Linked DNA regions of Coturnix japonica. The protein of the gene in region 1 interacts with the protein of each later gene in a biochemical or structural test. Links are inferred from orthologs where the notes say so. Each region holds a gene or a part of one and is shown on either strand. Other genes may lie near its edges. The genes, in order: RBSN and RAB5C.

Region 1 (7,421 bases):
CATGCTGAACTTATTGCCACAGTCTGGGCAGAATGGAACGTCCTGGTCATTGACCCAAGGCACAACAGACTTCTCTATAGCTATGATCAGGTGGAAGAGGAGGCAATACACACAGTATAAGAGATTAGTTCAATTTATTCCTTTGCTGGTAAACTACAGAGGCATATAGTCTAAGGTAAGCTCTTACCAACCTCGTATTTTGGCTGACTCGGTGTTGGCTCTGTCAAAGGATGTCAGCTAGTAGAAGATAAACAACACATTCAAAAAACAAAAACACGACCCCACAACTTTTCCTCCTTACTGAAGAAGGAAGACAAACAACCCACAACACCCTCCCATGCCCAACATGTTAAAAAAAAAAAAAAAAGCATGCCATTTTAAAAAGATAAATAGGAAGATGTTTGAATCTGGCAATAAGATTCAGACAAGTAGCACTAAACAATTACTGCCAAAATTACAAAAGTCAGAATATTTTGACATAGTTCTTGTATCATTCAATATTATTGTGTCTGACTGAAAATGTAAGTTGGCTATCAGTGGGGGATTTTACAGAACAAATAGGAGTAATCCTAGGAAGTAAAATATGAAGAAAGCACACAGAGCACGTGATGTAGCATCTTGTGCTTGAAAATACTGTACAGAAACAGAAACCATACCCACAGTGCAGAGCACGACCAAACACACTACACAAGGATAAAAAAGGGAGGACAGTAACATGTGAAGGCTACCATTTACCAATTGCATTACTACATAAGTGGGCATCCTTTGCAATAAAATAGTATTGGATATTTAAGAAACATTTAAATGGCTGGAATACTAAGTAGTAGCAAAATTACCTTTTCTAACCTGATTAACAATTTATTGACTTCAACTACATAGTGATCAATCCTGGCTGCTCGGTATTTCTTGAAACTGGAAAGATGGCTTCTCATAGCACCTTAGGGGGAGAGGAGAACTCAGAGTCACCTGGGTGTTCTACATGAGTTTAAACGCCTTTCAAAAGGCAGCTCTCCTTTTTTTTCATCAATTATTTTTCAAGTCCAAATAAAATTTTAAAGACACATTAGAATTCCAAGTCTTCGTGGTACTGGCCTGAATGAAGCGTGCAGGCTATAGCCTCCAAGCTAGCAATAAGCAGTGCTTTATTTCTACTAAAGGAAAGCAAAGAAGACATTAAAGAAAACATTTGCAACAGATTTTTTTTCATATTTATCTCTCAGTTACATTCCATGTTACCAGCCTGTATGGTAGTCAAGACCTGCTCCTGTTATTTCCTTACTACATCTAGAACAAACGCAAGATGCAAGTCCCATGATTATCTGAGGTTTATGCAATAACAGCTTCTTCCAGATTGCCATCATCCTTCTCACATCCAGGGGTCTGAACCAAGTCCTTGATCACAGCGCAGATTTACAGAAACCTCATAAACAAGTATACGAAAGAACACAGCATCTACTTAAATATATAATTCATTCTCAATAAATCTGGGTAATAGATTTTCATCTTTTTCATTAGCCAGATATTTAAAAAAAAAAAAAAAAAAATCAGAGTTACAGTCATAATACAAAAATTATTCATTTTCTGATTAGTAGAACATAAAAGCAGATGTTGCTCTTTGACAGTAACTGTACAAAGTCACTTCCTCATTCTAATGAAATACACAGAAAACCCTCTGTAGCCAAATTCATAGGAATGGGAAAGCCCCTCTAGGTCAGTAGATTCAACTTCTGCAGTGACAATCTCTTCATTACAGAAACCCCCAGCAAATCATGTAAAAATCTGTAAGATTCAGCTTCTCCACTCTGGTTTAAAAAAAAAAAAAAGACAGTTATCTCCAAAGCTTGGATTCTGCCATCCCAAAGGACTCAATTCCTCATCTGTCAGCAGCACAGGAAAACATACAGGACCCACCAGAGACAGTGCTGCCTCCTCCCCCTGAAAATAACCATAGGCAACTTCCAGTAACAGTATTTGTAAGTACAGGCTTAGTCAACATATTTGTTAACATCTGCAACGCCTGAACCTGCAGCCAGAGTTTGGCTGCTTATTTTTTGAAGTGAAACTACTTAATGACAGATTACCTATACCTGAAATCCAAGAAATAGCTGGAAGAGAGTTCAAACTAAGGGACAACTGTTAGTTTAAATGTCTGGCAAAACATCTACTTAAGAGTAACCAAAAAGCCATAGATTTAATATGGCTGTAGCAATATTAAATAGTAGTAGTGGATTATCATCTGTTTTGTAAAAAGCCATATGACAGTAGTTGCAGAACCCTTAGTAAAGCTAGATGCACAGAGCTAAATATGTACCAAAGAGAACTCAATAGCTCAGACACAATGAAATGACAACTATCCAGCTTTTGAGGCTAGTTTACATCCTGGCTCTATAGATCTTCCCTCCCCACCCCTGATCTTCACTTTCTCACTTTTGTCCTATACAATGCGTGCAGGCTGCAGAGAAACAGTATGGAAGTCACAACTCAATGCTACAATAAGTCACATACAGTACAGACAATTCCACAGTTTCAGCAATTAAACTTAAACCCAAATAAAATTAAAAGTTATCTCTACCATGCATCACTTTCAAGCTCACCTACCTACTTCCTGGGGCTCCCACATGTACGGATCTATGCCACCATAGCTGAATGACTCGTATCGTTCCTGAGATCCAGAATCAGTTCTGTCATCTTCTCGTTTCAGTAATTTCTTCTTTGCTCTCTTGGCCTTCTGGACAAGACCTGAAAAAAGATAAACCCACATATAAAAGAGCAGTTTGCCTCTCAGTATTTACCATGTTAAACGAGTACAGTATGCTCCTTATCATTCAGAACAAATCTTTTGCCTTCACAACAAGTCAATATGCTCTGTTTAGAACCAACATATTGTACAGAGTCTCCAAAAGCAGGAAATGCTTTTTTGTTATCTGTTATAGTGCTACAGTCCTAATGATAAACAGGTAGTTTTAGACACTCCATTCAGGGACATCACTATGAAAGAGTGAACTGTATTAAACTGTGGGACCCTATTTCATAGAACACTGGGACATTATATATGCACTCTCTTAATTCCTAATGATTTTCTTTGGATTCAAGGATGTTCAATTCTTCATACTTTTGCAAAGAAGTACAAGCTAAGAGCGTCATTGCACCTGTGCACCTCAGTAACTTCAAAAGAATTTAAAGATCACCACATTATCTTATTCAAAAGCTAGTGAGAGGAGGGCAGTTTCCTGGAAAACTTTAAACTCCAGCATTTTTATGGTAACAGAAGTTAAGGATGCCACTTCCCCCCCACCCCCCAATATATTCTAGAATTAATTCCCTTATACACCTGCTGAAAATTGTGAGTTGCAAGTGTAATGCTATAATGAGATGGGAAGAACAGCAACAGTAGCACAGGAGCAAAGACCCGGGCTGGTACATGGCAGGAAGCTGAGGTTCCCTCATTCTGTAAGGCCTCTGACTAACGTCTGGGAACTTATATGCATTACAGAATGAACCGGAGCACTCTCGTGTTAAAAACACAGCCAGAAAACAAACAAAAGCCAGTAACGACCCGCAGCACAAAGCACCGCACCCAAACAGCACAGAGGCCTACAGAGGCCTACACAACGCCCACTTACAGGCGACGCATCCCTCGCGTCAGGAAATAAGCAACACACTTTGCCTGGGCCTACGTCCTGCACACAGAAACGGGGCCCCACGCCTCACTTGTAGCGTATTTCTGTCAGCGTTCCAGTACTGACAGACACCCAGAGCTCTGGCAGCTTCTCTTATATGGGATTTAACACAACAGATGGGAGAACACCGAGAAACCGCCGCGGCCCTTACTTCGGAGCTGGCCTCTGACGTCTCTGTCTTCGCCCGAGTGCTCCTCCTCGTAGTGCGCCCGCAGCTGCTGGAACGCCTGCAGGTCCTTCAGGCACAGCGGGCATAGGAATCCCTCCCGCATCTCCGCCGCGTCCCCGAACGGCGGCGCGCAGCCGGCTGCCATGGCGCTGCGGGCTCAGAGCTGCGGCATCGCCCGCGCCATCCTGAAAGACATCGGGACGGCCTCTCCTCCAGGCGGCCCGCCTCTGCGCCTGCCAAGGCCAAGGAGCCCACTCGAGGGCCGTACCCACACCCTCGCTGTACAGGAAAGAGGCGAGAAGCGGCGGAGGGCGGGTGAGACGACCCCCGGACTCAGGAGGAGCCCGGGAACCGGACCAGGCCCAGCGCCGCGCGGAGGATGGGGCGGGGCTTCACCTCACGCTGAGGGGCGCCCGGCCCGGCTTCGCCGCTATCCCCGAGACGCGGCCCCGCGCTCCCCGTCCCGTCAGCTCGGCTCGGTCCCAGGCAGGAGCTGCGCGGCCGCGTCTCTGCCGTGTCTGTGCCGTTCGCACCCGCTCGGTGAATCCCGAGAGCCCCGAAGCAGCAGAGCCAGGCGGTGGGCGGGGCCAGAGCCGAGGTACCGAAGGGCGGGAGGGACGGGCACGAGACGGGCTCCGCGGGGAGGCGGGACTCGGGGCTCGGGGCCCGGCCCAGTGGAGCTCCGGCTGCGGCGGGCGGTGCTATGGACGCAGCCCGTGAGGCGGGCGCCCGCGGAGCTGATTTCCGGCGGGATGGGCGAGCGGGATGAGCGGCGCTGAAATGTATTCCGAGGCCGCGAGGACGAAGAGGGTTCGGCAGTCGAAGAAGTTGGAAAAGTTCTTTAAGATCACTGGGTCTGACCCGCACCCACCGCGCCCACCGACCGCATCCCTCAGGGCCGCATCTCCGCGCTTCTGGAGCGCCCGCGCGGCGGTGCCCTCATCTCTCCCTGGGCAGCCCATGCCGGCACCTGAGCGCTCTTCGGACGGCGTATCTCTGCTGATACCAGCCCGACTCTCCTCTGGTGCCATTGCAGGCTGTTACACGGTCACTTTCAGCATCTTGTCGCATCGCCATTGAATCTGACCCATTTTATATTTGTAATTCCACCATCCTGCCAAACCGTAATGGGAAATCAACGTCAAAATTGAACTGATTTCACCGTAGGAGTAGTTGAATACTATAAACAGCCACACTCTTTGAATTTTTATATATGCAGTTTCCTGTTGGGAGCCGTCATGCTCTCAAAACAGCTGTAGAAATAATGTAGAAGCATGATCACAACCAGGTTCCCATCGAGCATGCAAACTTTTTTTTTTTTTTTTTTATGCGGACTTAATTTATCTTTATTTTAAAATCTCAGATCTTATCTTGCTGTGGAAGCTGCACTGGTCAGGTACTCCACTGGTCAGGTACTCCTCTAGAAGTGTATTCTTTCTTTCTTTCTAGAAGGCCTGATATATTGATTATTTATGTTTGTTTGTTTGTTTGTTTTTCATGACGGGGCTTTATTAACCCCATGGGCTGAAAAGTTTTAAAATATTCTTAAATGTTTTCAGTTGCACTTTAAAACTTGAAAAATCCTCACCCTACAGGCACTAGAAATAAAATCATCAATGTATGTAAAGAAGGAAGGTACTTAAAAGAGAGAAATAAGGAGAACTGATTGGCTGGCTTTTCATACTGCTGTTATGTAAGAAATACATTTCTGGACTCTCCCAGACTTGTCTGGAAGGATTTTAAGCGCAGATGGAACAGACCTGCCAGGATGTGCTCAATAGTCTGGATCTGAAAAATCCTTTTCCCGTAAGCATCTCGCAAAGCTCCTAGGTTTTCTCATTCTCATTGCATAGTGTGTGGAATTAAGTTAGTACAATGCTTGAGGACAATGAACCTCGAGCAACTCAGGGCGCTGTTTTTCCTTGTGTTCCTCTCTTTGGAGAAAGGGAGCAGGAACCAACCTGAAGCTTCGTGCATCCCAGGGCTCACTTGCTGTGGCATGATCTCTCTGGGTTTTATGCAGCTGAACTGTTTCCTAGAGAAATGTCTTACTAGAGAAACTGGCAGCCTTTGGCTTGGTAAAGAGCTGGGTGGAGGGCTGGGCCCAAAGTTATGGAGTTAAATGGAGTTAAATCCAGCTGGTGACCAGTCATGAGTGGTGCTCCCCCAGGGACTGGTACTGGGGCCTGTCCTGTTTATATATTTATTGATGACCTGGACAGTGGGATTGAGTGGAACCTCAGTAAGTTTGAAGATGAAACCAAGTTGGGAGGAAGTGTTGATCTGCCTGGGGGTAGGGAGGCTCTTCAGAGGGACTGGGACAGGCTGGGTAGCTGGGCTGAGGCCAATAGGATGAAGTTCAGCAACACCAACTGCCAGGTCCTTCACCTTGGCCACAACAACCCCATGCAGCGCTACAGGTTTGGGGCAGAGTGGCTGGAAACAGTGTGGAAGAAATGGACCTGGGGGTGTTGGCTGACACTCGGCTAAACATGAGCCAGTAGTGCGCTCAGGTGGCCAAGAAGGCCAATGACATCCCAGCTTGTAGAAGAAATAGTGTTGTCAGCAGGATCAGGGAGGTGATCATCCCCCTGTGCTCAGCTCTTGTGAGGCTGCACCTTAAGTACTGTGTTCCATTTTGTGCCCTTCGCTACTATAAGAGCAGCGAGGCCCTGGAGTGTGTCTGGAGAGGGACAATGAAACTGTGAGGGTTGAGGAGCAGCTGAGGAAGCTGGGATTTTTCAGTATGGAGAGGAGGAGGCACGGGGGAGACCTTGCAGCTCTCTACAACACCCTGAGAGGAGGTGGTGGCGAGGTGTTGGTTGTCCTCTTCTCCCATGTAAATAAGGTTAGGACTTGGGGGAATGGCTTCAAGTTGCACCAGGGAACATTCAGGTTGGATATTAGGAAAAAATTCCTTCTCCAAATTGGTGTTTAGGTGCTAAAATGGGCTACCCAGGATGTTGGTTGATTCACTGTCCCTGGGAGTTGTTCAGGGAAGGCAGAGATTTGGCAATGAGGGAGATGATCAGTGGGCATGGTTGGACTACATGATCTTGAAGGTCTTTTCCATCCTTTGGTGGATGCTATGATTCTATGATTATAGCACTGAGACGAATTCATGCCTTGTGCAAATTCAGGTAGAACCAACTACCTGTCTCTTTGTTGTTACCTGCTCCTTTTGTTTGGGCCTCTGCTGGGGCCAGTGATCTGTAACACACTGAGCCAGTGAAGGAATCCTCCATATCTACAGGTGCCTCTGGGAAGCTGGCAGGAGCTGAAGAGATAGAGAAGGGCAGTAAGATCTGAGCTTGGATGGGAGGAAGTATGTAGGGAAGAGTGATCGTGGAAATAAGTGAAAAAGGCAAAATTAGGTGCAGGACTTGTGATGGTTTGGCTGTAGGCATTTCGGTTTTCTTGTTCCTGTTGTGCATGTGTGTGTTCTGTTCGTCTAATCAGAAGTATGGCTTGCTAATATGGGAGTAAGAAAGGAGCAGGAAAAGAGATGTGCAGAATGAAAGAAACATCTTTTCACTAGATGGCACAACAAGCATGTCTGAGAACAACCGAGG
Region 2 (6,699 bases), on another chromosome or scaffold:
GAGGGATTCTCCGTCTGCCAGGACGTGAAGAACTTCGCCCCCGAGCAGCTGTCGGTGAAGGTGGTGGGCAGGAAGGTGGTGCTGGTGGGGCAGAAGGAGACGCAGAACACGGACGAGGGCTCCTTCTCCTACAAGTACGAGGTGCTGAAGCGCGAGTGGGACGTGCCCGAGGACGTGGACGCCGAGGCGCTGACCTGCTCCCTGTCCCCAGAGGGGCAGCTGCGCATCGAGGCCCCTCGGCTGGCCCTGCCAACTGCTGGTGAGAGGAACGTGCCCATCCAGGTGAGCCCCGCAGCTCCTCAGCTCGGGGCAGCCAAGGATGGAGCTGCCAGCAAAGCCCAGGTGTGATGGGACGGAACGACGGTCTGCATTGGGACCAGCAGAGACGGCAGTGAGTCTCGGGCTGTAGCCCAGACACGCTCCATCATCTTTTTCACTACACTGGAATGTTCTCGTTTTTGTATCCAATAAAAAGTCCTTTTGCATAGAATTTGGTTGTGCTTCTTTTTTTGGGGGGGAGGGGTGATTGATGGGGTGAGGGGTGATTGATGGGGTGGCTGAGCCTTGTTCTCAGCTCTTGGGGGTGTATGGAGAGGGTAAAACCCTCTCTGCTCTTGGTGCTACGGGGCTGACAGCAGAGCTACTGTGCTGCTCTGAGCAGGGGGAGCATCCCTGTTCTCTTGCACTGTAGCATTTCCTGCCCATGCTGCTGCCTGCACCATCTCCATAGCCCTCCTGCTCAGCCCAGTGTCTCTGAAGAGCAAGATAACTGCTGGAAGATGTGGGAGGTGGAGGCAGTCCCGTCACAGCTACTTTTCTCCCTATGCAGCTTAGAAAAGGGCTGCAGATCCTTTTGGGATGACAGCAGCAGGCAACCTGGAACCAGGCTCCTGCACTATCCCCACCTCCAGCACTTGCAGCCAGGTCTGGGCAGGTCTGCAGGCATGCAGGCACACCTGTTTGTGTCAAAGCTGCTCTGAGCTCAGGCAGCTCTTCCTCACAGCAGTGCCAGCAGCACAACAGCTCTGCAGAGCACAGCCCCAAACTGGAGTCACAGCTGAACAGCACGGGCTGGGGCAGCAGCAGGACACCCTGAGAGCATCACAGCCTCCATCAGGGAGATGGAGACCCCGAGGCATGGGCCAGAAATGAAGTCCTGCCAGCCAGGAGCTCCTGTACAAGAAACCAGCAGATGGCAACAGCACCTCGCTCTGTTCCAGCCGCTGCTCAGTTGGGAGCCGGTAACAGTTGTCCAACGGGTCCCTCTCGCTGCTGGGGAATCCAGAAGCACCAGCAAACCATCCTGGAAGCGATGGGATCTCTGACATCTCATGAGGGTTCTGAGCTCCTCCAGCACATGAACAGCCACACAGAAACATGACATTAGCATCTTTAGATACTAGAGGCATTTGCTGACCAATATTTGAGCACACTATCTCTAAGTTCACCCAGCTGTCGTGTAAACTCCCCATTCCTATGCATACTGCTCCTCCCACCTCTCCTCAGCTCCTGCTATAGCTAGTTAGCCCAGAAGTGCAGTGATGAGCAGTTCTCACTGTTTACCTCAATCATGCTGCTGTACACTGTGATGAGCCAGCAAACCAGCTCCAGCTCCTCATAACAGACAGGGGCTCTGCAGCTCCATGCGGGAATCCCTCCCTCACCTTGCAGAGCTGGGCCTCACCACGCCTGTTATGTTCTGCTCCACTCCGCTCCCCTCCTGCTTGTTAAGAAACACGAACATTGTTGATCGTGGTAGGTTTATAAAAATTTTCCTTTAATCACACAAAACTGAAGTTTGTGATGAAGAGTAGCTTGACAGTTCCTCTTAAATACCAGTATGCATAAGACACTGCATTAGGCACTAGGCAGCAGCCAACATCAGTTAGAGTCTGGCAAGAGAAGCCATTTTAATACCTCCCTTCACACCGTGTGGGATTACAGGCTTTTGCAATACACAGTTTTCACTGACAGGTCACCCGAGGTTTCCCCTGCCCCACTTCTGTACATCAGTAAACCACGTGTATTCACACCAGGGTGGGGTTAACATTCGTGGCATCACAACCATCAAAAAAAGACAATTTTCTATACAAGATTCTCTTTTTCTTTTTTTTGCAAAAGTTGCAACAGGATGAGTGCAGTATGACAGAACCAGAGAGAAAAGAAGTTGGCATGCGAGAGTCCAACACAAATGAAGACAACAGGCAGCTAGTTGTATGTTCTATATTGACAAGATACTGATTGGTTACATGAAGAAACATACAATACAAAATACAGAAGAAATCAGTTTTTCTTCCCTCTGCCCCACCCCAAAATACTCATAATTGATTTGGTCAATAAGTGGCTGAAGAGCCGGAGTTTGTCACTATAATGCTACAGTTTAGTGGTTGTTCTAGGCATATCGTACTGGTATTCGCCTCAGCTTTTACACGTGGGTAACTTTAAACAAGGCTGTCTAGTCTCAATATCCCTTTGTTTCCAATAGTGAACTACAGTACTGTGGGACCTGGGTGCTGCTGGCCCTCACCCGTGGGGAGGGATGAGCTGGCTGGGCAGACACCAGGTCGTGCATCCACCACCACCAGGAAGAGGGAAGAGCAGAAGTTCATATATTAAAAAAGTGACTTAAGACTTAGAATTGAATTAGTATTTGTACAGAAAGGTGCAGGTGGAAGAACTCCCTCCAGCCTATGATCAGAAAGGGATGGAGAAATCACAGCAGCCACCGGCAGCAGCTGCTCTACGGTAAGTGCGATTGTTAGCGTGGATTCCAGTCACGTCCTTCGAGGGCTCCATCGGGCGAGATCAGCTGCTCAATTGCTGCAGCACTGGCTCCTGCTGGGCTGACTGCTCTCCTGAAGGTCGACCACCCGATTCCTGCCCGGACCACCTGGAGCATTCTGGGGTTCATTTTTTGGCAGTTTCTTGGCTAGGAAAGAAGCAAGGTATCAGCAGGTCGCTCTTATAGAGGCCAGCCTCCTCCCCACTGCAGACCACACGCTGAGCTCAGCTCTACTCCAGCCTCCAGCTCTCAGGACACTGCTGGCAGCACAAGTACATTAAACCTGCTTTTAGCTGTCACCAATTCTGCTCCACCCTCATTCACTCCAGATAAAGGGAGAGAGGGAACAAGGTTTGCACTACCTGGGTGACCACACACACAGGTCTAACAACCTGGTCACACATAAACTCCAGTAAGAGCCTCCAGAACCCAGCTGACACAGACCCTGTGGTTTTCAGTGGGCTGTACTGCCAGTGCTCAGAGCTCCTCCAGGCAGCCCTTTCACACCACACTTACCTATTGCCATGAAGATTTCATTCACATTCATTGCTGTCTTGGCCGACGTCTCCATGAACAACAAGCTGTTGTCATCTGCATAAGCTTGTGCATCCTAGAAACAATAACGTTAGAGTGATAAAGGCATCCTGCCAGGAGGAGGCACATGCAGGCTCCGCATACTCCACTTGCTGGCATTATTAAACACTGAAGACAGCCTCTGCCCAGCCCAAACTGGGCACCTCCACCCCAGCCCAAGCCCTGCCTGGCCAGGACAGCTGATAGACGTGCAGTACTGACAGGAGCACATGGCTGAGGTGCCAGCATCAGAGCCAGGATACAGCAGCACAGATTGTTTGTGAGCTACATGTGGACACTATGTCTCAAGCAACTTAACACCTTGTACTTTGGTTGGCTGGGAGTTTAACACACCTCAATGTGAGAGCTGCTTTCCCGGCTGCTCAGGTAGCAGCTGAACCACATTCCCACTTACCTGGAAATCCACAGCTCTCTTGGTAGCAAGGTCTGCCTTGTTTCCTGCTAGTGCAATTACAATATTGGGGCTGGCCTGCCTCTGCAACTCTTTCACCCAGTTCTTGGCTCGTACAAATGTGTCCTGGAAGTAAAAAGGAGGCAGTCAGGAAAGGCAGCCTCTTAATAATGCACAATGAAGATATGATTAGAACAAGTCTTTCCTGTAAGAAGCATTCTGCTTCTACAGCACTTTGTAGCAGGATTCTTTATCAGCTTAGACAGCCTTGATCAGAAACAAGGAAGTGGCGAGTTTAAGAAACTCAGTACCTGCAGGCAGGCATCTGCAGCAGCCCTAAGCCCAGAACTCTCCCATGGAACAGAGAAGCATCAGATATAAGTGCAGATGCCTCCCTCCCAGCAGACACTTCAGGCCCTGGTGCAGTACTCACTGTGTTAGTGATGTCGTAGACAACAATGGCTGCCTGAGCACCTCGGTAGTACATGGGTGCCAGGCTGTGATACCGCTCCTGTCCCGCCGTGTCCCATATTTCAAACTTCACCGTTGTGTCATCCAGACAAACTGTCTGCGTTAGGAAGGCAGCTGAAAGAGAAGAGATGTTTGCCTTGTCTCCAGCTGGAGAGCTCCTCCAGCAAGAGCCAGCAGCTCAGAGCAGTTCTGCTTTTGCACAAGAGCTGGCAGAAGCCCCAGCCAGGCCAGCACACTGCCACCTGCTGTGCAAGTCACAGCTCTGCTGTGTTACAAGCTACTTATGTGAGGGAACCAGAGAGCCACCAGGCAGCAGGCTGCCAACAGAAAGGTGGCTCCGAGCACCCAGCAAGCAGCCTGACATTACACTGCTACCCACCCCCAGGGGTCACCACCCAGACCACACAATACAGCTGCAGCACCCTGAGGATTAGCTTCACAGAGTGCCTCAGTGCCAAAGCACTGCAGTCAGCCCAGTTACACTGCACTCCTTGGCCTAGAAACCAGTTATTTTCTTGTTCCAGCAAGAATAACGCCATACTTTCATTTCAGTTCTAATACAGCCAGGCTTGAACATGGACTGAGGTAGAACAGCAGATCACTCACAGCCCCCTGTGGCAAAGCATTAAACCCTGCCTGTCTGTAAGCTGCCCTGCTTCCTGTATGGGTCACTACAGGGGCAGATGAAGCCTCTCAGTGCACATCTCCTCACATTACCACTCAGAAGGCTGGGTGCTGACTGACCTTTGATTGGTGACTCCACACTGACTATTTTAAGCTAAAGAACAGCTAGGCCTGAAAGAGATGTGGAAGTAGTTTATTTTGTCAAGCTACAAACAAGCCTGATATCCCAGGTCCTGGTCAGAAAACATTGAAGCTATAAACTAAGCTGAATGCCTCAGATCTAATTAGAAATAGGAATTCAAACACTGGAAGACGCCTGAGAGGCAGAGCACTCGTGGTTGCCATAGCAGTGTTCGCTGGTGCACTGATCTCTACACTAACAAACTGCAGACCAAGAGTTAAAGCATTAGCTGCTTGACTATTTATAGCAAAAAGCCCAGACCAGACTGAAATAGCCATTAATGCTCCTGATACTCCTGGGCTGCATTAGCAAGGCCGGCATCTTTTAACCATCAGCATCTGGAGTTGGCACTCACCTCCAATCGTGCTCTCCTGGTACTCATGGAACTGCCCCTTCACAAAGCGCAGAACAAGGCTGGATTTCCCCACTGCCGACTCTCCCAGCAGGACGAGTTTGAACTGACAGATTTTGTTTCCAGCAGCTGGTCCATTCGGTCGAGCAGCTCCACCTCGACCTGCCATTGTGGCCTAAGTGCAGGAGTGCCAAGAGTTAAGGATGCTGCAGGTTCTGCACTGGATCCACCTGGAGGCAGGTTGCAACTGGAAGAGGAGGCCAGAGTTAGTGACACGCTCCCGGAGCAGCCCTACCAGTTCCAGAGGTGGTTTTGACCCACAGCCTCTATCAGCACAGACAGCTGCTGCTCCTTCCCACTGAGGAAGGTTACTGGCTGCAAGCACTGCAGCACATCAGCCAGTTCCTATCAGTCAGCAGCTCCCACAGCATCTGAAGTTGCGTGAGCCTCCTCAGAGCAGGGGTCTGATAAGAGCTCCCTCCCCACCGGGCCCTCCAGCACTTCCACTGCACACCATGCTACACACCTCACTAGGGCAAGGCAAGCAGAAAACAGCCAGTGTGCCAGTCAGGTTATTAGAGCCTTGTCCATTAAAACACTGTTCAGTTCATTGGAAGTAACTGAAATTGAGCTTAACTCCTTCCTCCTCTCTCGAGTTCACCACGTAGCAGCTTCAGGCTGCCAACAGAATAGAGGTGTTTGTGTGCCCTATGTAATCCATTATGGACAGCAGCACTGACTCACTCCTCCAGATCACAAGAGCAAGTTGTTATGTTCAGAACTGTAAAGGCCCTTGTACAAAGCTGTTAAACACCGCATCTCTGAGCAGTCCTCAAGGCCACCTCAGACCTGCAGAAGCACAGAGGAGCTGACAGCCGCCCCACCAGCACTGCAGGTAATTATCAGAAGTCTAGACTGACTTATCAGAAAGCAGGGGCAGCACCTACACACAGCAGCAGCAGCACCAAATCTCCAGTGTTGTGCAGAAGCACTGGACAAAGAGCGAGACGAGCTGTTCTACATCCACTGATAACCCTGAGCGAAGGCTCAGTGCCTCCCATTAACCACAATGACCCGTATTCCTGTTCTCAGCTGCGAGCAGATAATGTTCCAAGCGCAGTTTCACAGATTTCAGCAGATTTCCTGTATTCAACACGACTCCCACTTCCTGTCAATGACAAATGCTACAACCGATTGCATCTGCTCTGTATCACCATTTTCCCTTCAACTCTCTCGCAGCCCAAGTTTCTTGACAAAGACAAGCAGCAAACAAAGACCCTGATGGGCAGTTTCCCCCACAACAA

Evidence for each region.
Region 2: the proteins of RBSN (region 1) and RAB5C form a complex in vitro, tested with the Homo sapiens proteins (2 studies listed by BioGRID and IntAct, with this or other methods). The link is inferred for Coturnix japonica from reciprocal best matches to the Homo sapiens genes RBSN and RAB5C.

The regions. Positions count from the first base shown.
Region 1 is NC_029527.1:17,038,166-17,045,586, reverse strand, and holds the start of RBSN (rabenosyn-5), read right to left. Parts: upstream 4,454-7,421; 5' UTR 4,246-4,453; exon of another isoform or gene 4,129-4,245; 5' UTR 3,995-4,128; coding exon 3,832-3,994; intron 2,740-3,831; coding exon 2,599-2,739; intron 938-2,598; coding exon 837-937; intron 238-836; coding exon 192-237; intron 81-191; coding exon 1-80. UniProt on the Homo sapiens protein: Rab4/Rab5 effector protein acting in early endocytic membrane fusion and membrane trafficking of recycling endosomes. Required for endosome fusion either homotypically or with clathrin coated vesicles.
Region 2 is NC_029542.1:4,450,864-4,457,562, forward strand, and holds the end of RAB5C (ras-related protein Rab-5C), read right to left. Parts: intron 5,643-6,699; coding exon of another isoform or gene 5,593-5,642; 5' UTR 5,565-5,592; coding exon 5,399-5,564; intron 4,353-5,398; coding exon 4,201-4,352; intron 3,894-4,200; coding exon 3,771-3,893; intron 3,393-3,770; coding exon 3,299-3,392; intron 2,930-3,298; coding exon 2,814-2,929; 3' UTR 1,757-2,813; downstream 1-1,756. Other genes in the region: HSPB9 (heat shock protein beta-9), read left to right, coding at 1-348. UniProt on the Homo sapiens protein: The small GTPases Rab are key regulators of intracellular membrane trafficking, from the formation of transport vesicles to their fusion with membranes.